Linked DNA regions of Rattus norvegicus. The main gene of each other region encodes a partner of the protein of the gene in region 2 in a complex. Links are inferred from orthologs where the notes say so. Each region holds a gene or a part of one and is shown on either strand. Other genes may lie near its edges.

What was found.
Region 1: Nup98 (region 2) and Cetn3 share a complex: the UniProt entries of both Homo sapiens proteins name them as parts of the nuclear pore complex. The link is inferred for Rattus norvegicus from reciprocal best matches to the Homo sapiens genes NUP98 and CETN3.
Region 3: Nup98 (region 2) and Nup93 share a complex: the UniProt entries of both Homo sapiens proteins name them as parts of the nuclear pore complex. The link is inferred for Rattus norvegicus from reciprocal best matches to the Homo sapiens genes NUP98 and NUP93.
Region 4: Nup98 (region 2) and Nup205 share a complex: the UniProt entries of both Homo sapiens proteins name them as parts of the nuclear pore complex. The link is inferred for Rattus norvegicus from reciprocal best matches to the Homo sapiens genes NUP98 and NUP205.
Region 5: Nup98 (region 2) and Nup214 share a complex: the UniProt entries of both Homo sapiens proteins name them as parts of the nuclear pore complex. The link is inferred for Rattus norvegicus from reciprocal best matches to the Homo sapiens genes NUP98 and NUP214.
Region 6: Nup98 (region 2) and Nup153 share a complex: the UniProt entries of both Homo sapiens proteins name them as parts of the nuclear pore complex. The link is inferred for Rattus norvegicus from reciprocal best matches to the Homo sapiens genes NUP98 and NUP153.

What each region holds. Positions count from the first base shown.
Region 1 is NC_086020.1:13,823,437-13,827,923, forward strand, and holds the start of Cetn3 (centrin-3), read left to right. Parts: upstream 1-1,654; 5' UTR 1,655-1,742; coding exon 1,743-1,759; intron 1,760-3,289; coding exon 3,290-3,425; intron 3,426-4,487. UniProt on the Homo sapiens protein: Plays a fundamental role in microtubule-organizing center structure and function. As a component of the TREX-2 complex, involved in the export of mRNAs to the cytoplasm through the nuclear pores.
Region 2 is NC_086019.1:165,930,254-165,933,940, reverse strand, and holds part of Nup98 (nuclear pore complex protein Nup98-Nup96 proprotein), read left to right. Parts: intron 1-7; coding exon 8-161; intron 162-3,249; coding exon 3,250-3,679; intron 3,680-3,687. UniProt on the Homo sapiens protein: Plays a role in the nuclear pore complex (NPC) assembly and/or maintenance. NUP98 and NUP96 are involved in the bidirectional transport across the NPC. May anchor NUP153 and TPR to the NPC.
Region 3 is NC_086037.1:10,699,834-10,703,520, forward strand, and holds part of Nup93 (nuclear pore complex protein Nup93), read right to left. Parts: intron 3,331-3,687; coding exon 3,173-3,330; intron 1,827-3,172; coding exon 1,661-1,826; intron 1,275-1,660; coding exon 1,181-1,274; intron 304-1,180; coding exon 112-303; intron 1-111. UniProt on the Homo sapiens protein: Plays a role in the nuclear pore complex (NPC) assembly and/or maintenance. May anchor nucleoporins, but not NUP153 and TPR, to the NPC. During renal development, regulates podocyte migration and proliferation through SMAD4 signaling.
Region 4 is NC_086022.1:64,831,933-64,835,619, forward strand, and holds part of Nup205 (nuclear pore complex protein Nup205), read left to right. Parts: intron 1-620; coding exon 621-765; intron 766-1,089; coding exon 1,090-1,249; intron 1,250-1,773; coding exon 1,774-2,002; intron 2,003-3,602; coding exon 3,603-3,687. UniProt on the Homo sapiens protein: Plays a role in the nuclear pore complex (NPC) assembly and/or maintenance. May anchor NUP62 and other nucleoporins, but not NUP153 and TPR, to the NPC.
Region 5 is NC_086021.1:35,673,209-35,676,895, forward strand, and holds part of Nup214 (nuclear pore complex protein Nup214), read left to right. Parts: intron 1-289; coding exon 290-749; intron 750-1,771; coding exon 1,772-1,947; intron 1,948-3,354; coding exon 3,355-3,452; intron 3,453-3,687. UniProt on the Homo sapiens protein: Part of the nuclear pore complex. Has a critical role in nucleocytoplasmic transport.
Region 6 is NC_086035.1:18,205,778-18,209,464, forward strand, and holds part of Nup153 (nuclear pore complex protein Nup153), read left to right. Parts: intron 1-1,475; coding exon 1,476-1,522; intron 1,523-1,929; coding exon 1,930-2,059; intron 2,060-3,687. UniProt on the Homo sapiens protein: Component of the nuclear pore complex (NPC), a complex required for the trafficking across the nuclear envelope. Functions as a scaffolding element in the nuclear phase of the NPC essential for normal nucleocytoplasmic transport of proteins and mRNAs.

The DNA.
Region 1 (4,487 bases), on a different chromosome or scaffold from region 2:
TGTCACTCCTGCTTCCAGGGACATCATTATTCTTCACTGTTCGATTTCGGCTTCTAGCATCCATGACTCAGGGGAATGCTTCTCTACATCTCTGTTTTCAAAACCATGATAACAGACTGAGCCTTAACAAGTCTTTTCTGGCTCTGATCACAGGTGGGTAAAAGTCCTGTACTCGTCAGAATTAGACATTGTGATTAGACTCTGTTCCCTCTCATGACCCATTTTAACATTATATCTCAAGGTGTGGATTCTAATTTGACTCGTAGACATCTTTTCCCCTATTAGGTACCATATTTATGGTTTCAGGATACCAAGATGTAGCCTTAGCTATTATTCTACCTATCATACCACTATGATCTATGTACAGCCTCCAGAACAGTCACTTATGAATCACTGGTAATTGTACAATGTTTAACTTAACTTCATATCTGTGCACTAAATAGTTAACATTAAATATTTAAGAAATAAAAGTACTTAATTTTATATTTTAGGCAGAGTCTCACTACTAGTCCTGGCTGGCCTGGAATTCACAATGTAAAGAACTCAGAGATCCGATTGTATGTCTATTGGGTGCTGGGATTAAAAGTATGTAGCACCACGCCCAGCAAGTTCTTCATTTCTCTACTTTGGTTTTGGGAATGCTACCATTTAGCTATTACTTTTTAGTTCTATCCCAACTCTCTAGTCAAATTTCTATCTACACTCCAGGCTTAACTCATACACAGCCAATTACCCAGTGTCCTTCCTTCACATACAAATTTAGATATAGTATTTCCCTTTTCTAACACCTAGCCCCAGTTTATTGTATTTATGCCTATAAGAACTGCTTGGTTAGCTCAGGAGTTTCCAAGTTTTCCACAATAAGACTTCGTTTTACGCATCAAGTATTTATGGAACACCTAAGTTCCAGATATTTCATTTGGTACAAATATTCGTGTAAACGGAATTGTGGCCTTGAGGACAGTCGGTCTAGCAGCTTGGTGATCGAAGTAAGCTTCAAGAGGCTTGGTGGGGAGTGGAGATAGAATGCACACACAAGGTTTACAGCACTAGAAAGTGAAGAGCAGAAGCAAACAAATACATTGCAAGTCGCACAGAAGAAAAGGATGGTTTAGGTAGTCTCACTGTACATGACCTAACAAAACAACAAAATGAAAAGACTAATCCAGTCTGCCTTAAAATCACTTGGGAAAGCTGTACGGGGAAGAATGCTTAGCTTGGTCGTTACTGAACTAAGATTGGAGAACATCACCTTTAGATTTAAGTTTCTCGGGTGTACCAGCCACCCAGAATTGTACATCTTTTTGTAGACCTGGTTCCTCAATCACTGCTCCGTCTGAGCAGGCTGCTTGTGCCGTGCCTTCTTCCCCTTCCTTCGGTCGACGCTGTGCACGCGTGCTCGGAACTCCAGCACCATGTCACCCGTAGAGCCTAGCCTTGCCTGCCTGAACCCCGCGTGGTGACTTAACAGGCGCGCAAAGGATTCAGGAAAGCATCTGGCCAATCCAAGGGGTCAGACAGACAGCAGGGCGAAATGTGTACTTGACTGACATGAATGCTGACCAATGGAAACAGAAGACAATCGACGCTTCCGCCCCAATGGGCCGGCTGTTGGCAATTTCGGCCAATCGCACCCAGAAACTTCTGTCAGGTGGGTGGTCCCCGAGGCCGTGGAGGTTGGTGGCTGTTGAGCGGTTCTCGTGGTAAAGTCCTTGAGCGGAACACCTCTGTCGGAAGAGAAAATGAGTTTAGCTCTGAGGTCGGTAACGAGGAGGCCGCGCCTCCGTTCCCCAGAGGGGCCAGGGAGGGCGTGGAAGGGAGGCCGAGTCGGGAGCGGACGAGGAGTGCCGAGCATCAGACCTCGGCGGTCCCCGCCTCCCACAGCGCCGCTCCCCGAGTGAAGTCTCGCGAGGTTTCCCTCACGCATCTGCGGGTTTCGGGCCTGGCCGCCTGCTTCCTCCGGAAAGTCACAGGAGAGCTCGCCTTTCTGCCCGGGTCCCGTGGCACGCTGTGCTTTGGGCGTCCTGGGTGGATCTCGTTTCCGTGACACCCTCCAGTCACTTCCGGACATCCCCCCTCCCCATTGGCTCCTCACCCTGTCCATCTACACTTAAAGGCGCCCCCGGACCGCGCATTAGCCTGGGGTGGGTGTGTGGCGAGTGTGTGTGTGTGTGTGTGTGTGTGTGTGTCCGCGCATTAGCCTGGGGTGGGTGTGTGGCGAGTGTGTGTGTGTGTGTGTGTGTGTGTGTGACCGCGCATTAGCCTGGGGTGGGTGTGTGGCGAGTGTGTGTGTGTGTGTGTGTGTCCGCGCATTAGCCTGGGGTGGGTGTGTGGCGAGTGTGTGTGTGTGTGTGTGTGTCCGCGCATTAGCCTGGGGTGGGTGTGTGGCGAGTGTGTGTGTGTGTGTGTGTGTGTGTGTGTGTGACCGCGCATTAGCCTGGGGGTGTGTGTGTGTGTGTGTGTGTGTGTGTGAGCTGGGGTCACGTGAGAAAGATTCCTGGCTGCCACCGTCACCCGCTCAGCACTGATCTCCCACGTCTGGTCCACCCGGAGGGCGTTCCTGACGAGACGCTGTTACAGTCAGCCGAGTTTTAAGATTTTGAGGTTTTAAAGCTTCCATCTTTTAAAACGTGCTGATACACGTGTTGTGTCGTATCCTCGTTTAAACATTTGGACTGCTTTTTGCATTGGCAGCTCTTAAGGCAGACATTTTCAGATCCAAGTGCCCTTTTTAGATTTCCTTTAAACTTCAGAGTTTTTAAATGAAGACGTCTAACCTATCGTTTACATGTTAAGTGAGAGTTAAAACACTTTTAAACATCACGTCGTGGACTTAAGCACGAGTATTAGATGCTGCGATTCTGGGCGCCTAGTATTTGCATGTTTAGGCCCTTTAATAGTTTGCCTGGCTAATATCAGTGGAATAAAACCACAAAGCACTGTTAGAAATGTATAATCTAAAAACATTTTGGACTTAGAATGCTAAAGTAATCTTTTAAGTTTTATGGATGATTTTTGTAGTAATTGTGAGTTGGTTGTCATTTGTGAATTTCACTTTTGTATGTTTTTTTTTTTTGGTTATTTTTATGTTCTTGGTAGATGACAGGAATAATATGTATGATGCTTTCAACTTTGATTAGGATTTCGGTTATAAAAGTACATTTGGACTACAGGACGTTAACTTAGGCTCAGTTTCTTTATGTGCCAGACTACTCTGTTGAAATTTAGAAAATGATTCTTTGTCCTAAGTTGGGTTAAAGTAGACTAAAGGCATTTTTCTGTGTCCTAGAGGTGAGCTTGTAGTAGACAAAACAAAAAGGAAAAAACGAAGAGAACTCTCTGAAGAACAGAAGCAAGAAATTAAAGATGCTTTTGAACTGTTTGATACCGACAAAGACCAAGCCATAGATTATCATGAATTAAAGGTAACAGGGTATTTAAGATCCATTTTTGTTTAACTCAATTGCGTTTGTGCCTGTTGCTTTAAAGTCTACTTTAGAAGCTTGTTTCAGAACTGTGAGGCTGTTTGTAGTGCCCACCCACAGGTGCTACAAGAAAACGGAGTAAAAATGGAGTATGGCTTCTAGAACCTTGTATTTAAGTGTAAGAGTGCATCTTGATGGGAAGTCTAACTTTTCCATTCACCCAGTAAAGGGACAGTTCTTAGCATGTTCTTCCTACAGTTGTTTTCTTCTGTGTGATGATATAGCTCAGATTTTTAACAAAACAAAATTTTTTGGCATATGCATGTGCCCCTGCTGGCCTGTACATCCCCTTGTGTATCATGTGGTGGGCAGAATAGGGCCTGTGTATCTTCCATCACTCTACTCCACTGCCTTGAGACAGGCTATTTCCCTGAGTTGGAAGTTCAGCACTTGAGAGTGAACTCTGGGGATCGCTGCTGTCTCCACAACTATGCCTGTCTTTACATGAGTGATGGGGATTTGAACTCTGGTCCTCAAGATTTTAGGGCGAGAACTCTTACTGACAGTTTTGAAATGGAGAGATCATTGACTTTGCTCAGACATTTGAGATTGACTTTTAATTTTTAAGATAATACTAGCACACTCTTAGAGTACACTCTTCTCTGTTACAAAGGATATAAATTGTCTGATGCCTAATGTTGCTACGTGCAGAAGGAAAATGTCCTACCCAAGGCTTTAATTACTAGTAAAGAGGGAAGGGGAAATTGGTTATGAACACATTTCTCACGTTCAGCCTAGTAAGAAGGATCACATTTTGATCTCTTTAAGTACCCTTAAAAGTTCATTTAGTAGTTTTAACATTATAGGGGTAGAATCTATGTAGCGAGATGATAGACTATTTAAAAGTAATAATAGACTTTGAAGCTTTGGCCTCAGTCTTGAGGTCCTCCTTTAGCTCATTCCCTAACCCACTGTTCTCTTGCTGCTGCTCCCCTCCTCCACATAGCATGAGTTCTTCCTGTCCAGTGTCTTAGCTATTCGTTGTCATTGACCATCACAGAT
Region 2 (3,687 bases):
TTTGTAGATCATGAAAGCATCCTTGCTTGTGGATGAAGAAGACGTAGATGCCATGGAGCAGCGCTTCGGTCACTTCCCTTCCAGAGGAGACACTGCTCAGGAGATCTGCTCCCCTAGACTCCCCATTTCAGCCTCCCACTCCTCAAAATCCCGCTCCATAGGTACAGTATAAAATGTGCTGGTTCCAAGGACACTGTCAGCTCGATTCTGCTTTTCATATTTCTCCTTCTAAGCTGAATGGATTTCTTTAGCAGAACCTCTGAAAACTATAACAATAGGCATAATTTTTTTTTAAATACATACTATCCTCTTCCTACCATCTATGGCAGGGAGATTGCTGTGAATTTGAGGTTACCCAGAACAGCATAGCAGGACCCAAGGAGCTTGGCTCAACAGCTGAGAATACTTGTTCTTGCAGAAGACTCCAGTTTAGTTCTCAGAAACCATATGGTAGCTAATAACCCTCTCTTCTCCATTTTCAAGAGATCTGACACCCTCTTATGGCCTCCTGGCCACCAGGCACACACATGGTGTATATACATATACATACACTTAAGCACTCAGGCATACATACTAAATAATTTCTTAAAAAAGGGGGGTGGGGTCAGTGAATTAGCTTAGCTGATAAAAAGTACTTGCCATCAAGCCTGATGAACTGATGATCTCTAGAACCCACATGGTGGAAGGAGAGAAATTACTTCCTGAAGTTGTCCACTGACTTCCATGTATGCACACATGCACACACATTTTAAAACAGAAAAGGTAAAAGTGCTGACATGGCAGGGTTTTAAGCATCATAAGTACCTCTTTATTGGGAAACCACTTGTAAACCACCTCCCTAAAGTTGTCTCATTGAGTGAGAGCCCTGTTTTAGTCACTTGTGAGTGTGGATTACATAGTAAGCTCTAATCTAAACTCTACCACAATACTTAGATTCCACAAGTTGACCATGTTCCTTTTATTTAGTCCTTACATTATCTTACTGCTTTTTTTGATAGTAAACTTCAAGTATCTACTTTTCCCTAAACCTTTGAAAACCCCTGTGGGGTAATCACATATTAAATTTTAAAACTTTCCCTTTTCTTACTAGGATTGCAGATTATACTTTATAGAGTACTGGCTGGAGAGATGATGGCTCAGCAGTTAGGAGTATTGACTGCTCTCCAGTGAGTCTGGGTTCTCAACACCATCTGTGACTCCAGTCCATGATACACAGTGCCCTCTTCTGGCCTCCTCACATACTACATACACATGGTGCACGGGCATGCAGGCAGAAAAACTTTTTTTTTTTTTCTTGAAAAATGTCAAAAAAAAAAGGTTGTGGAGTATTGATATCAGTGAGTAGGCAATTGTAATTCAAAATACTTTGAAAGCTGAAGAACTAAATTTTGTTAATGTTTTCTGAAAAGGTAAATAAGGAACAGCAAGAAGGCTGAGCAGGTAAAGATACAAGTTTGATTCTTAGGACCCACCTTGTAAAGAGAGTGAACCACCTCCCTAAAGTTGTCCTCTTACCTCTCCTTAAGTTCATAATGTCAGGACTTCGGGGTTTTTTTTTGGGGGGGGGTTGTTTGTTTTTGTTTGTTTGTTTGTTTTTAAGATTTTATTCATTTATTATATATAAGTACATTGTAGTTGTCCTCAGACACACCAGAAGAGGGCATCAGATCCCATTACAGATGGTTGTGAGCCACCATGTGGTTGCTGGGATTTGAACTCAGGACCTCTGGAAGAGCAGTCAGTGCTCTTAACCGCTGAGCCACCTCTCCAGCCCAGGACTTCAGTTTTAATCTATCTGAGTTTTGTGGTTTTATTTTGTTCGGGTTTTTGTTTATTTTGGGGTTTTTGTGGTTGGGTTTTCAAAACAGGGTCTCTGTGTAGCCTGACCCCAGACTCACTGCCTGCCTCTTCCTCCAGAATGCTGAGATTAAAGACATGTGCCACCACCCCCAGCTGTTTTTGTATTTTACTTATATATAAGGCTATATTTGTGCAAATATAATATCCTCAAAATTTTTAGATTTATCTGTGTATTGATTTTTTTTCTCTGCATGCAAGTATGTAAGGCAGGTACATGCAGTGCCTATAAAAGTCAGAAAGTGTCAAATTTCTTGAAAGTAAAGTTGTGAGCCACCATGTGTGCACTGGGTATCAAATTCAGGTCCTCTGCAAGAGTAAGAAGTGCTTTTAACTGATGGGCTGCCTTCTCTCTAGCCGTTACAATGTCCTTTTAGCTCAGTCTCCATCCCCTATAGCTACTTACTTTACCCTTTCCTTTTTCTTGGTCCCCATACAAGTTTTCTTCTACTTTCATGTCATTAGTACATAAATAATATCAGGAAAGTGCAATATCTAAGACCCATAAATTAGAGAAAACATGCAATATTTGTATTTTTGGAACTGATCTAGTTCTCTGTAAATTGCTGTCTCCAGTTGCATCCATCATTTTAAAGATAGTTTTATTGCATATAGGATTTCAGTAAGGATATGACCCTTAGGAACAGTTTTACCCAGTCTCGTCACTTGATAGTGCCATGGACTTAGAAAGGCCCCCTTTTTAAGCCCAGTTTCCTCAGTTTTAATGTGAGCAGCAATAACACTTCCCGATCAATGTTACTGAAAAGTGAAGTGTACACATAATTGTCTTTAATATTGTTGTTAATCCTTGAAGATTCTTGTTTTTGTTTCTCCTTTATAAAATCATTAAAGTCCTTGCTTTGATTTCGTAGCTGAAAAGGTGATTATTGTGGACTGAAGAGATGGCTGAGTGGTAGGGAGCTTATACTGCTCTTAGAGAAAGCACAAGTTTGGTTCCTAGCACCCACATCAGGCAGCTTACACCCACCTGTAACTCCAGCTTCCAGAACGTGGGACACCTGGCATCCACAGGCAGCTACAGTCCTGTTGACATACCCACAAACATATACATAATTTAAAATTTTTATATAAATATTGTGGCACACACTTTTAATCCTGCACTCAGGAGGCAGAGTTCAAGGCCCACCTGGTCTACATGGTGAGTCCCAAGACAGCCAGGTTATACAGAATAATCTTATCTGGAAAAACAACTAGTGCACACCTTTGATCCTAGCACTCAGGAGGAATAATCTTGAGGCTAGCCTGGTCTTCATAGGACTTAGGCTACTTGTCTTCAAAGAAAAGTGATTATTATAAAAATCTGTCTGAAAATTTTCATCTTTAGCGAAGAAGCAAACTGGGTTGTTAAGTGTCTTTTCCTCCTTGTTTCAGTTGGTGGGTTGCTCCAATCAAAATTTGCAAGTGGAACTTTTCTTTCACCAAGTGCCTCCGTGCAAGAATGTCGCACACCCAGAACATCATCTCTAATGAACGTCCCATCCACATCCCCCTGGTCTGTCCCTCTACCCCTGGCCACTGTGTTCACAGTGCCCAGCCCAGCCCCTGAAGTTCCCCTAAAAACAGTGGGGATACGCAGGCAACCAGGCCTAGTCCCTCTTGAAAAATCCATTACATATGGCAAGGGAAAACTCTTGATGGACATGGCCTTATTCATGGGACGTTCATTTCGGGTTGGCTGGGGTCCCAACTGGACTCTTGCAAATAGTGGAGAACAACTGCATGGCTCTCATGAACTGGAAAATCATCAGGTTGCCGAGTCTATGGAATACGGATTCCTGCCCAATCCAGTAGCTGTTAAATCGTGAGTTA
Region 3 (3,687 bases), on a different chromosome or scaffold from region 2:
TACAATGCTCTAAGATGACCAAAATCCGGAGTGGTTGCCATTTTACCACTGTAATCAAAGGGGATGGTGTGCTGTGGTCGCATCAATGCCAACTAAGACCTAAATACTCACGGAGCTGAGCACTCTGCCCGGAGGACTTTAAAAGCAGCTTTAGCTCAAACAGCACCAGGGCCACATGGACAGCATGGCAGCGCAGCCGCTCCATGCGGAAGAGAAAGGCAATGGCAGCTTCAAACTGTGCAGTCAGGAACAGCACTTGGAAGTAGAGGAAGGGCTGCTGGTTCACCGTGAAGTGGGACTCGCCTGCGGAGAGAAGGCAAAACCTACTCAGAGGGAAGCCGCCTCCAGCGTCTGACCCACCCTGGGTATCTACTGGCCTTGCTGGGTGAGAGAGAGCAGCAACATGAGCCTAAGGGACCCTGCACACTAAACTACATGAAGCCAGGCATGGTGGCCCAGACCTCTAACACTTTTAGTCACAGCTACAGAAAGACAGAGACAGGCGCATCTCTGTGGATTCAAGGCCATTTCTGACGTACAAACTGAGATCCACAACTGCCAGAGAAAAACACTGGCTTAAAATAAACAAAGCAACACGACCCAGTCCCTCTACTTCTCTGGGCCTCATTCATGGTTGGCAAGCGGGGTTCTGTTACAAAAATCTAAGCTGCTTGCATTAGAGAGGAGAGAAACAGAGATGTTGAAGCGACAGAGGCAGAAACTGCCAAGCTGAGGTACAGTTGGAGTCACCGAACCCTGCACTGAGGGCAAAGGGAGAGCTACTCCTCTCTGTAATCGAATGTGACTAGCAAGATCTACGAGGGAGCAACTGAGACCCCATTCACATCTCTCCCAAGCAAGAACTAGGATCATGTTTATGGTCTATGACTGTGGAAGCCGCACGTTTCTCTTTTCTTTTGGCCAAAGATCAAACTCAAGGTCTCTGGAATGTGAGGCAAATACTTCGGTCCTGAGCTACAGCCCCAGACCCTTTTATTCTTATTCTGAGACCAAAAAAATGTCAAACTCACTCTGTAGCCTAGGCTGGCCTTGAACTCAGGATATTCCTGCCTCAGTCTCCCAAGTATCCAAGTGATGTATATGTCTCAATGCATAACAGTCTGTGCCTGATTGAAAATGGTAAGCCCCAAAAGAAGATGGCAATCGTCCAGGGTCTTACCATAGTCCTCTAGCAGCTGCTTCTGGAACTGTGAGAGAGTGAGCCTGTCTTGTGGCGAGCTGGTGCCGTCATCATCGAAACACACCTGGTTCAGCTAAAGCCCCAAAGGAAACAAACACACTGGTACAAACTACATCCTCACCACATCAGAGCTGCCTGCCCAGAGGCTGGCTCTGTGCTGTGATCTGGAGGCTGCACAGCACACTGTGGTTCTGGGTTGGCTTGTGTGTTAGTAGAGCATGACTGAGACCCTAGATGCCATCCCGAGCAATACAAAAGGGGAAGGGAAGTGGGGGAAGAGGAGGGAAGGAAAGAAGGAAAAGAAAGCTAACTGTAGTTATTAGCTGGAAATCACACAATAAAAAAATAGGGCCAACTAGACACAAAACCCACTGGCCCTGTCTTGAGCCCCACACAAACGTCATGCACTATGAGGGCAGAGTATAGAGAACTTGGGCAGCCACAGGACACTGTGCCTACTTTTAACCACAGGTAGTCCTCGGTCTTGTCTGCTACTTCGCTCTGGTTGTCGGTGATGTCGCATCTCCCAATGATACAGTACACAGCTCGCTTGTAGGGGTCTGTGTTGTTCCTGAGGGCTCTGCGGTAGTGAAGCCGGAGTTTGTTCTCAGTAGCTGGAGACAATCTGAAGACACAGAGAGACACAGACTCAGCGAAGACTCAAAGGTGGAGTGCAAGCATGCCCAGAACACTCTGGAAGCTCTCCTTCATCCTTCATCCTGAGCGCAGGGCCTGCCTGCCTCATCCACCACGTTCACCGCCGTCTAACTACTAGCACCACATGCTTTGGCCCATCAGTCTTCTCAAGTCCTGAGACCTCCTTGGGAAGATGGGGAATGCTACGGGTCAGTATTCTACCCTACTCAGCATTCCTCCAGCAGTGACAGAGCAGTCCTTCCCTAATCGTCTTACAGTTTGTTTATCTGAATGCACATATGTGTGCAGTAGAGGATAGAGGCAGAGGTGCTGTTTTTCTGATATAGTATGTCTACTGGTCTGGAGCTTGCCAATTAGGTTAGGCTGACTTGCCAGAGTCCCAGAAATCCTTCTTTCTTCATCTCATCATGCGGAGATCACAAGCTAGTGCTACCATGCCTAACAAGGTTCTGGAATTGAACTCAGGTTTGCACAGCAAGCACTTTTACCCACTGAGATTGCTCTCCAACCTCCTCTCCTCCTTCAACTGTCATAAGCCCTTGGGTCCCCACCTTCCCTTATTCACATGGGATCACCTCCCAAATAATGGACTTGCACCCAAATCTTTGGCTCAGGATCTCCTTCTGAGTTGGGTGCTAATGCTGCCTCCACTCCAGTGGTGATCAAACACAGGGCTCCGTGCATGCTGGACAAGCAGAGGCTCTACTTCTGAGCTAATCTTTAGCCCTAACCCTACTTTAATCTATATGAGCGAATCTGAGACAACCTCTTCAAGTGGCAGTATTACCCCTTGAATATTTGCTTTCCCAGGACCCACTGGAGTGAGCATCACATTTCCTCTATAAGTGCATACATACAACTGGGCTTGGTGAGTCCAATTACATAAGCGCAATCCCAACTCTGCTTAGCAGGCCCTTAGTTCAGGAAAGCTTCTCAGGGCCGTGGTAAACATCCCAATGCTAACTTCACACGGACTAAATTCTAGCTCTAACTTGAAGCATAAAGCACACACATCCACACGGACTGAACAAACCAATGTCTAACACAAAAAGTCTCATTCTATTTCAGTTATTATTTTAGTGGTTTTGGAGACAAGGTGTTAAAATGTAGTCTAGGCTACCTTTGAACTCACAAACTGATGTGTCAGACTCCTGACTGCCGGGATTACAGACACACACCAACACTTTTGGCCAAAACGTTGTATTTTACAAAGCAATCAATCTGAGCCGAGAGGGTGTTCCACACAGTGCTCCACTGACAGGAAACTCACTAAATGCAGTCTACGACTGCAGCAAAGCAGGGCACTCACTGTACCTTCTATCCTTGCTGTTCATGTATTCCTGGAACCAGGTTTTAAATTCCCCCAGCTGGTGCTGGGCTCGACTGACGACTTGTGATGCAGCAAGCAGGTCTCCACAGCGCATGCAGTAATAAATTAACGCCCAGACCGGATGGCCTTCTACCTCTCCATCCTAAAAGACAAAACACACAGTCAAATAAGAGCTAACCAACCCCTTTCTGATGTGTGGACACCCAGCTAAGGCATTTAATTCCCACCATAACCCCATGAGTTAAGAGCCACCGATTGTATCCTACTCCCTGTGTTTTGCAAACACACTAAGTTGTCCAGGGGAAACTGGGAGTGGCAATGTAGCATGGATCTGGAGTCACTGAAATGTGAACAGAGCTTACCTGTGTGTTCTCTCTTAGCCAGCAATGATGGGATCTCCTTCCTCTTCTTTTTTTTTTTTTTTTTTTGGTTCTTTTTTTCGGAGCTGGGGACCGAACCCAGGGCCTTGCGCTTCCTAGGCAAGCGCTCTACCACTGAG
Region 4 (3,687 bases), on a different chromosome or scaffold from region 2:
TATTTACCATGCTCTAGATACTGTGGGAAGACTGCTATAAAATAAAGATGAATGAAGCCTCATTTAGTGTAAAGGAGCACAGTGTGGTGATTTAAGAGAGACATGGAATGGTTTTGACTGGAGGCAGTGCAGAGTAGAAGAGAATGACCCTGAAAGGAGGGAACTTGCAGACATTTGCAAGAGTTCATACCAGTGGAGATAGAGTGGGCCCGACTAGCAAATCAGATAAGTGAAATCCAGTTGGGAAAGTGATGAATCCCTTATTCTTTATTTGTTTAGTTGAGACAGTGTTTCTATGTGTAACCCTGCCCTGCCCTGCCCTGGAACTCACTCTGTAGACCAAGCTGGCTCTGAACTCAGAGATCCACCTGCCACTGCTTCCTGAGTGCTGGGATTAAAGGCTTGTGCTACCACAGTGTGACTGGGCTTCTTGTCTTATTAATGGGGTTGATCCTGGTGTATGGTTGGTCGGCCTTTTGAGTCTGCTATGCCAGGAATGATACAGGGAGTAGAGATCCTCAGGGTCCCCTTTATGTTGAGACCTGCAGATTTGAATGAATTTTGGCATACTCTTTGAACACATTTGAGCTTTATTATTAAACAATCAATTCCTTTTCTAGGAGAACATCAGCAACCACATTTCCCTGGCCTCACCAGAGGATTGGTAGCTGTCCTTTTATACTGGGATGGAAAGCGGTGCATTGCAAACTCTCTCAAAACCCTAATACAGTCTAGACGAGGGAAGACATGGACATTAGAACTCAGGTCTGTTTGCCTTCGGGGACTTACAGGGTTAAAGTAAAATTACTTGAATTTGAATTTTGGAAATAATTCTTAGTGTATATAGTAAACTGTGATCTCATGTCAGTAATATACTAGAATGCTCTTTCCAGAGTTGTACATTAGTTTAAACATGACTTATTTGCAAGTGAAAAATCACAAAGGTTTATTTAACTCCAGTGATTTAGAAAGGGTAAAAAGCACAAGATTATAATTCATCCTTGTTGTTTGCAGTAATAGGCTGTTGTTGGCTGTTGTCAAAACAGTATTTTTATTCACTGTAGCTTTGTTTATTTCTTTTCCTTGCAGTCCAGAGCTGGTTTCCATGACAACACGCTTTACAGATGAGCTGATGGAACAAGGATTGACTTACAAAGTCCTTACTTTGGTGTCACAGATTGATGTGAATAATGAATTTGAGAAACTACAGAGAGACAGAGGTTTGGGCAGTGAGAAACACCGCAAAGAGGCAAGGCTTCTATAAGATGAACTCATGGGTGTCTTTGTCAAATGTGGAACTGAAGTCGTAACAGAATATTCATTTCACTTAGGCGGATGAAAACACTGTGTTTCATCATCATTGTAACTTGTTTTTGGAGGTGGGGCCTCACTGTGTAGTAGTAGACTGGTCCAGAACTTGCTATCTAGACCAGGCTAGCCTCCAACTTAGAGATCCACTGCCTCTAGAATGCAAAGCATGAGCAGCCACCCCTGTGGAAAGTGTACACTGTTCTGCTCATGGGACTAGCTTGCATTTGTTCCAGTTGCCGTGCCTGTTTATGTATCTAGTTCTTTCTGGAATGAGTTGTTCAAGCAATTGGTCAGCATGGTTTCTTAAGGACTAAACCCTAGAATTTGTTCAGAATTTCAGCAATTTTAGGAGCACCTGTGGATTCAGATAGTTAATTTTGTTAGACTTTATGGAAGACACTCTATATTTTGTAATGCCAGACTTTGCTATAACTTATGTCACAATTGTGTTGTTACTTGTAGGTTTCTGATCTCATCAAGGAGTGCAGGCAGTCTCTGGCTGAAAGTCTTTTTGCTTGGGCTTGCCAGTCACCGTTAGCTAAAGATGACACCCTCCTGCTTATTGGACATTTAGAAAGAGTGACAGTCGAGGCCAACGGCTCCCTGGATGCAGTAAATCTGGCTCTCCTCATGGCTCTTCTGTACTGTTTTGATACCAGCTTTATAGAACAAAGCACAGAGGAACGAGATGGTATTGAGTTTTACATTTATATCTTTTTAAAAATTATTTACTTATATTTATTTTATGCACATTTGTGTTTTGCTTGTGTGTATGTCTGTGTGAAGGTGTCACACCCCCTGGAACTGGCATTGTAGATGGATGAGAGCTGCCATGTAAATGCTGGGAATTGAACCCAGGACCTCTGGAAGAGCAGCCAGTGTTTTTAACTGCTGAGCCGTCTCTCCAGCTTCAACATATATATTTTTAATGCTTTTTTTTCTTAGAGTCTCACTGTGTGGTTTAAGTTGGCCTCGGACTAATTTTTTTTAGTTACATTTATTTATTTGTGCGTGCGTGTGTGTGCCTGTGTGTGTGTGTCACACACACCAAAAGACAACTTTCGGGATCAATTGCCTCCTTCTACTATATGACTTCAGGAGGTAAACTTAGGTTGCCAGGTTTGATAGCAAGCACTGTTACCCACTGAGCCATTTTGCTGGTTTGGCCTCAAACTCTTGAGCTTCCTATTCTAGTCTTCTGAGTGCTGGGATTATAGGCATATGCTAACATACCCAACATGTGCTAACACAACCACCAATACTTTTATTTTTAAATATAAAATTTTAAATTGCGAGGGAACATTCAAGAAGGACGATATTTTAACTTCCAAAATACAAATTTTTTTCTTTTTTTTTTTTTTTTTTCTGTCTGTGTAATTCAGGCAAGTTGAAACATTTTAAATGTGTGATTTAATTTAAGACTGAGGTCAAAACTCAGTAATAGAGAATTGCTTACCATACTTGAGGTCTTGAGTTTGCTTCCTAATAGAAATGACAGGAAATTAGCCTTGGTGGGTTTTTGTTTTTGTTTTTTGTTTGATTTTTTTGAAACAGTTTCTCTGTTTAGCTCTAGCTGTCCTAGAACTTACTATGTTGATCAGGCTAGCCTTGAACACGCAGAGATCTGCCTGCCTCTGCCCTCCCAAATGATGGGGTTAAAGGTGAGCACTACCATGCTCGACTTTGTTCCTGTGCAGTTAGTTTCTTATGAGATTTGAAATGACGGTTTTACAGGATAGACAGCAGTGTGTTCATGAGTGCACATGCCTGACTTTACTGTAGCTACTTTAATTCACTTTTTTTTTTTTTTTTTGGAGCTGGGGACCGAACCCAGGGCCTTGCGCTTGCTAGGCAAGTGCTCTACCACTGAGCTAAATCCCCAACCCCCTTAATTCACATTTTAAAAACTTGGGAAAACACTGAATTTCTATTTTCTTTTTGACATAGTATTTTTGTATGTGGGGAGATGATTTATTTTATCATAAGAGAGCATTTATTTATAATTTAGAATCCCTATATAGAAAAAAACAGTGAGTGCTTCTTTTTTCTAATTTCTGCTGTCTATGAAACTTATTGAAAGTTGTTAACTAAAATTTTTGGTTGTCTTTTCAGTTTTTGTGCATTTAATACTTAACAGTAATACAGATTTCTGCTATGTCAATAATAATGTTGATTAGTCATTATTCTTTTTGAAAATGCTATGTCTTTGACTTTTAGATATCCATGTATGACAGAAGTAAGAATTTATTTCTGCTGTTTTTTGCTGACGTGGTCTAGTTTTGTGTTTTCAGATATGATTCACCACCTTCCCCTGTTGACAGAGAGACAGTACATTGCCACAATTCACTCTCGCCTCCAGGACTCCCAGCCTTGGAA
Region 5 (3,687 bases), on a different chromosome or scaffold from region 2:
AGGTCGAGGCCTCACTGCTCAGAGTTTGCAATATATAGACTCATTGTGCTTTCTATCCACAAAATCCCGTTAGCCTGGTGCCTTTCTCTCTTTCCTCATATGTCTGTCTTGAGAGTTTCACGTATGTTATCTTATGAAACCCTGCCTACTCAGTCCCACTCTGTTTCCTCAACAGGCACTATTTCCAGCCTCACTGCCCTCAGCCCTCCCTCCTTTACTTTCTATCCTGTGGAGCCCCAGGGATACAGTTTAAGCGTGTCCTTTTGTTTCTCCTTGGTTCTTGTTACAGGAAGTTTTCCTAGTACACCACCTTCCCCTCAAGCTCCACAGAACCTTGACGCTCCAGCAACAGCCTCTTCGCCTCTTCCACCGGTGTCTGCTGCTCCCACCGCCACCTTCCCTTTGCCGTCTGCTGGAGGAGGCCCTTCTGTGTTCTCCTTTGGCCCTTCACCCTTCAAGTCCTCCTCCATCCCCGGGGAGCCCCCGCCATACCCCACTGGCTCTGACAGTTCCAGAGCAGCACCAGCCTCTGGCACCCCCACCTTCTCTTTTGCGCCTCCTTCCAAAGGCACCTTGGCCCCGACCCCTGCAGTGGCTCCTGTGCCCACATCTGCTGCTCCCTTCACTTTCGGATCATCAGGTTTTAAGCCCCCCTTGGAAAGCACACCTATGTCCAGTGCCCCAAACACAGGGATGAAGCCTTCATTCCCACCCTCAACTTCTTCGGTGAAAGTCAACCTGAACGAGAAGTAAGTCACCTTGAAAGACTGACTCCTCGGTAGACTGGGCCTCATAGTGCATGGTGGTCACTGAGCTAGCGTCACTCAAGTACAGTGCACAAAGTAGTTATGTCCCTTTCTTAGACTATAAAGATAGCAGTCTTCCTTATTTTACAAAGGGCAACAGCCCAGAGCATTCATCCAGGGAAGGAAATGGGTCTTTTGTAGCTTTTTCCTCCTCAGCTACTCTTGACACTCAGCTGGTTCTGTGCAGCCACCAAGGTGACTTGAATAGTTAGGGATACTTGAGGTGACGCTCCTGCTTGATGGTCCCCAAAGGTTTCTTGTTACGTTTCTTTACAATTCAAACCTTTTAGCGTGGTATCTGGTTTCCTCCACATTAGTTCCAGTCACCCTGCTCATCCCTTATTTATTTACCTCTTGATCTTTTTTTCTGTTCTCCCCACCACACTGAGCATCTAGAGGGAATGTTCCCCTGTATCGTGCAGCCTTTTCCAGTTGGAGCAAGTGTCAAAACCATGTTTTGGGGCCTCATTGCCAGGATGTCGTCCTATAGGCACACTGTCATTGCTCAGATTACATCCACACGTGGCTACTTCACACTAGCCACTTTTGGTATTCCATTTTGTTGGGCTGTCCATTTTTCACCGGAGCTTGTCTGCAGACCTTGCTTTGGTGGAGGTGACTTGACAGTCTTTCTAGACCATGATATCCCAGAGACAGCGACTCCCTGCCCTGAAACGATAATTCTCAGAACAAGGGCTCATGCTTTGTTGCGCCACCCCCTTAAAACAAAACACACACGCAAACCCATGTGACAGGGTAGAAAGTAGATCCTCCTACACTAAGTGCTTTGGCTGTGCTGTAGGTGGTGAGTAGATGTGATTGTGCCCTCCCATGAGTAAGCAGCATGAGTGCTGCTCTGAAAGTAGAGGAGACGGCCAGTCAGATTTTCTTGGCTCTCACTGCTCAGGCCCAGTGGGAAGGAACCCTCCAGCAGAGTGTTGTGACAGCCGCATTTCCGCTTCTAGGTTCACCGCTGTGGCCTCCTCTGCACCCGTTCATAGCTCCACAAGCATACCCTCCGTGTTGCCGTTCTCTTCCTCCCCCAAGCCACCAGCTTCTGGACCACTCAGCCATCCCACGCCTCTCCCAGCATCACCCAGCTCCATGCCTTTGAAACCTTCAGTCTCTCCCTCTCCGTCAGGTAATCTCTAAAGCCAACAGCTTCTGTCCTCAGCACACACGAACACCCTTTCAGATGATGGGTTCAGCAGGTTAAGAGTCCTTGCTAATGTACTGAGGCAAGGGTTTTTTGTTTGGTTTTTGTTTTTTGAGACAGGCTTTCTCAGTGTAGCCCTATCTGTCCTAGAACTCACTCTGTAGGCCAGGCTGTCCTGGAGCTCAGAGATCTGCCTGCCTTTGCCTTCTAGTGGATAAATGGTGGGGTCCACCACCGTCACTACCTGGCTAAGTTTTTTATTTTGTGGGATGGGGAGTGTGTTTGTGTGCTTGACTGTTTTAATGTGCTGTGATTGTGGTGCTCTGACTTGGAGATTCACAGTGGTTTCAGTTCTGCTAGCCTTTATTTGGGGCTCATGGAAATTCAAAGAAAGTGTCTTGTGCCTAGGCGCTGGCCCTCACACACAGCCAGTTACTGAGCTGCCCTTAAGCATGGAGGATAGGAGCCGTCCTTGGGACCCATGTGCTTACTGCTCCAGAGGCTCTGGATTACATTTTCCCATCAGCCACTCTGAACATGTGATGAAATGGGAATGGTTAGAGACAGGATTTAAGGCTCCCGAGACATCAGCCCAGCCTTTCCCTTCCTGTCACATGTCCAACTTAGTTGCAAAAATATAAATACTGTGCTTGTCATCAAGGTTCACTGCATCCTAAAAGTTTACATCTTTGCTTATCTCTTTCTTCCTTTTATGTAAAAATTTGAAAATATTTTAAGAGTTAGTTGCAGACATTGTGAAACACTTGATCTCTAGATCAAGGGTTCCCGTCTCCTAAAAGCCAAGGCCATTACACTCAAGAAATTAACAACCTTCAAATTTAGAGTCCATGTCATATTTCTCCAGTGGTCTCACAGCTGGGATTTTCCCCCCTTTCTTTTTCTGTTCATCTCATTAGTGTAGACGAGAAAACCAGCTCAGTGGTTTGGGGACCATCCCTATTGGGATTGGATTGTTTCCACATGATAGGATTCAGGTTAAAGATTTGGGGCAGCTACACCAGGTGCCTGATATTCTCATGCGTGCTTTTATTCAGTCTGACTGTAGAACTGTTTTGAGTTTGGACATTTGCTATATTTCTTTTCTTATGTGTATGTTTGTGCATGTGAGTGCAGTTACTTGTCTGGTCCCCTGGAACTGGAGTTACGAGCAGTAGCATAAAGAGACCGTGAACTTAAGCCTCCTGAGTACTGGGATTGTGGACATCACCAGGCCCAATTTGATCATCCTCCTTTAATACGGGTGGTAAAAGTAAAGCCAGGGACAGGGTATAACTCCCTTTCTTAGATTTGCGGAAAGATGTTTGTGGTGACAAAAGTAACAGGAACTGGTGTCTGCTGTAACTGACTGATGTCATTGCTCCTTTACTCTAGTTGGCCGCTCCGCCCAGACTGCCCCGAGTTCAGCACCCTCCACAGGGCAGAAATCTCCTAGGGTAAATCCTCCAGTGCCAAAGTCAGGGTCCTCTCAGGTATGTTGAAATTTCCTTAATATACTTGTGTGTTACTAACATGGGCCTTTGTGCTTTAGAATTCAGACATGAAAACAGTAATTATATCTGAATAGGAGACACTAAAGTCAGCATGTACTCATAAAAGCAATTATCTATTTACTTTTCTTTTTCCAGACATGGTCTCACTATGTAGTCCTAACAGGCCTGGAATTTACTCTAGACCAGGAGGCTGGCCTTGAACTTGAGAGAGATC
Region 6 (3,687 bases), on a different chromosome or scaffold from region 2:
CTAATTGCTTGTCAAGGCTTCCAAGGCAAGTGCTTTACCACAGAGCTACATCTCAGCTTGTAAGAAAAGTACTAGTATTTTACTAAATTTGTCTCTTTCCCCCCTCTGTTTATTTTACAAATTAGGATTCTCTGTAGTAGATAATAGAGTTCAAACCCAAGAAGAGAATCTTGGTGCTGCACAAAACTATAAATTTTATTTAGATGTTAAATACTGACAGACATCATCAAGACCGTGACATGTAGTTGTCATCTGTCTTTGTCTTCATTAATCTAGAATATTTTTGAAAAGACGAGTTAGTTACTGTATAGAATGCACAGCGCTAAGAGATTGTCCTGGGTGGGTCTAGATTCTGGTTATTCCTGGTTATCCACTGAAGGAGGGTTGAGCTCATCTTAGGGCTCAAGTGGAACTTATCCTGTTTTTTTTTTTTTTTAAAGATTTATTTTTTATTTTATGTATATAATAAGTACACTGTCACTGTCTTCAGGCACACCAGAAGAGGGCATTAGATCCCATTACAGATGATTGTGAACCACCCTGGTTGCTGGGAATTGAACTGAGGACCTCTGGAAGAGCTGTCAGTGCTCTTAACCACTGAGCCATCTCTCCAGCCCTCTCCTGTCTATTTTTGATCCCATTAGCATTATTGAGAATTTTTGCCTCAAGCTGTTTTTGATTGCACTGTGGTAGACTTTTAGTTCTATTGTTCTTTTTCCATCTATTGATTGGCCCTTTGCTGTAGAGAATTTTCTGTGTTTAACTGAATCCTTAATTTTAGAGTTGCTTCTTTGATGCTTATCTTCCCCTGTATTTGCCTTTGAATGGATTCTGTGTCCTTTTATTATGCCCCATCAGTTTTGGGTATCTTATTTTTTTATATTGCAAGGTAATTCCGAATCTTGTACATTTCTGGTTCTCTGATAGTTCTGATGAGTTGGGAGTACTTTATATCTCAGATTCTGTCCTTGTAAAGTTGTCTATCATTTAGTACAGCAAAAAGGAAAGTTGTCCCCTAAAAGTCAGTGTGACCTTTGGACTAGTAGATGTGTGACATTTTGTATATATGCTCATATTACAGTGCACAGTGCAGTTGTGACCTTTGGTTAGCATTCAAACACAATGTCTAAATTACATATACCAAGGCCATTAGAAAATCAAATTTTTAATTTCAAATAATAAAATTTATAAGTAAAAGGATGTTAAGAGAGTTTGAATCTATGGATGTAGCTTTCAGTGGTGGAAGTACTTGCCTTGCATTTGATAAGGCTGAGTTAATCACAGCACTGAAAAAAAAAACTAAGCCAGAAATGCTCACCTGTGATCTCTGCACTTGATGGGTGGAGGCAGCGGGAACTAGATCTCAAGTTCAGTCTGAGCTGTATACGGAGTTCGAGGCACTCCTCATTATTACCCCACTCCCCAAATAATTGTCATTTTTTAAATAAAATCCTCATACTATTTTTTTCTTTCAGACTGTAGATGAAAAAAATATCTCAAGACAAAATAGAGAGCAAGAAAGGTAATGTCATCATATACTGCAAATGGATTTCTTTATATTTGTAGGGTTCATATTTACAATAGCCTTGAAGATAAAGAAAATTGAAACGTATACTTAGGTGGTGAGCGAGATGCTCAGCAGGTCAGGGTACTCTACCAAACCTGAAACCTGTGTTTAGTCCCACGTAGTGGAAGGAGAGACCTGACTGCCAAGAGCTTTCCCACTAACCTTCACAAGCTGCCCATACTAAGATCATGTGTGCTTACATGCCCATGAATGTATGAATACATAAATAAATGCAGAAGAAATTTCAAAGTATATTTGGCTATACCCTAATTGTTTTGTTAGCTGATCTGGTGTTTGAATATTTAACAGTTTCTGCAACAAAATATTGAAATTGTTCTAATTTTCTTTTTTTTGTTTGCTAGTGGCTTTTCATACCCCAATTTCAGTATTCCTGCAGCCAATGGTTTATCTTCTGGAGTAGGTGGTGGAGGTGGCAAGATGAGAAGAGAGAGAACAACACATTTTGTTGCTTCTAAACCTTCAGAGGAGGAGGTAGGCTCACATTTTATAGAACTTTGAGAGGGTCGGGGTGAAGTAAGGCCTATAGGAATGGGGCTTGAAGATTTGGAGTGAAGAGTATCGACCATTGAAACCATCCTTTCGACCATTGCTCTAATACCCAGCCCAGAGGCCTCAACTTCACGAATTGGGTAAAATAACTTTAAAAAACCCCTCCACCTTTTTATTTTATGTATTTTTGTATGTGAGATAATTCCCATCGACATTATTGGATTCTCTGGTTGCTGCCTTCGGGTTTTGCTTGTTTCTCAAGTGTACATACGATTAACACTGTGTACTCTCTCTGCGATGGTTCATGTTTAATGGAACAATGGAATTTACATTTCTCTGCTGTTTATCCTTTGTGCAGATTTACTACAATTAGTCCATTCTCTCATCAGGGTACATTTGGGCTGATCCCCAGTATGTGCTAAGGTGAATATTGATACACTTCTCCTTTGCCATGTGCAGTTTGGTCTGGAGGATATTTACCAGGAATGAGGTTTTTGGACTACAGGATTTGACATGTCTTTAAATGTGTTGTTGGTCTTGGCTATTATTCTCTTCACAACACTCCATGTGATCATAGATGGATCTTAATTTTTAAAATTTTTCCTTACTAGCATTTGGTTTTGGTCCATTTCTAGTGTGATAGCTAGAAAAAAAGTCACCCGGGCTTTATTTTGCGTCTTGTTTCATGGGAAGGAGGAATCTTTTGTATGTGTTTTGTGACCATTTAGGTTTGTCTTTTATTATTTTCCTATTAATTAGGATGAGTTCTTGGACTGGTGAGGTAGCTCTGGGTAGAGGTGCTGCTGCCAATCTGGTGACTTTAGTTTCATCCGTTCCCATGGTGGAATAGGAGGTCTGAGTCTGCGGGTTGTTGGTTAACCGCCACATGTGTGTGTTTACATGTGCACACACACAAACACACACAGAAGTAGGTAAATTTGAAAAAGAATTGATCTCTAGGTATTGTTTAGATATAGAACATAGAGACTAATTGAAGATTGGTTAAATTGACTTTCTGTCTAGAGATTGCTCATTTTATTTATTTATTTTAGCTACTTTTTGAGTTGGAACATCCCGTTTCAGTCTTCTTAAAATTGATTTCATCCAAGCTAAATCATTTTAGGCTTTCACCACCTTCTAAGATGTTCAACTTACTTGCTCCTTTAATTGGAATGTAGGGCTTTATAAACTTTTATGTGTAGGGGTGCTTTGACTGCGTGTTATTTCTTTGCACCACACACATGCAATGCCCATGGAGGTTTGAAGAGGGCGTTGCAGTCCTTCAAATTGGAGCCATGGATAGTTGTGAACCACCATCTAAGGTTGGGAACTGACTGAACTCAGCCCTCCTGCAACAGCAGCCAGTACTCTTAACAAGGCAGCCATCTTTCCAGCCTTGGGGACTTAATACTTTGACTTACTTGTTTCCAGTTACAATTTCTCATTATGTTTATTGTATTTTAAAGTTTAAAACTTATATTTCATTAATAGGGATTTTTTTTCTAGTATGTGATTGTGGTCACATGTGTGGAGACCATTGGACAGCATCAGGCATTGATCTTTGTCTTCCTCTTTGTTTGATACAGGATCTCTGTTGTTTGCTGTGTTCA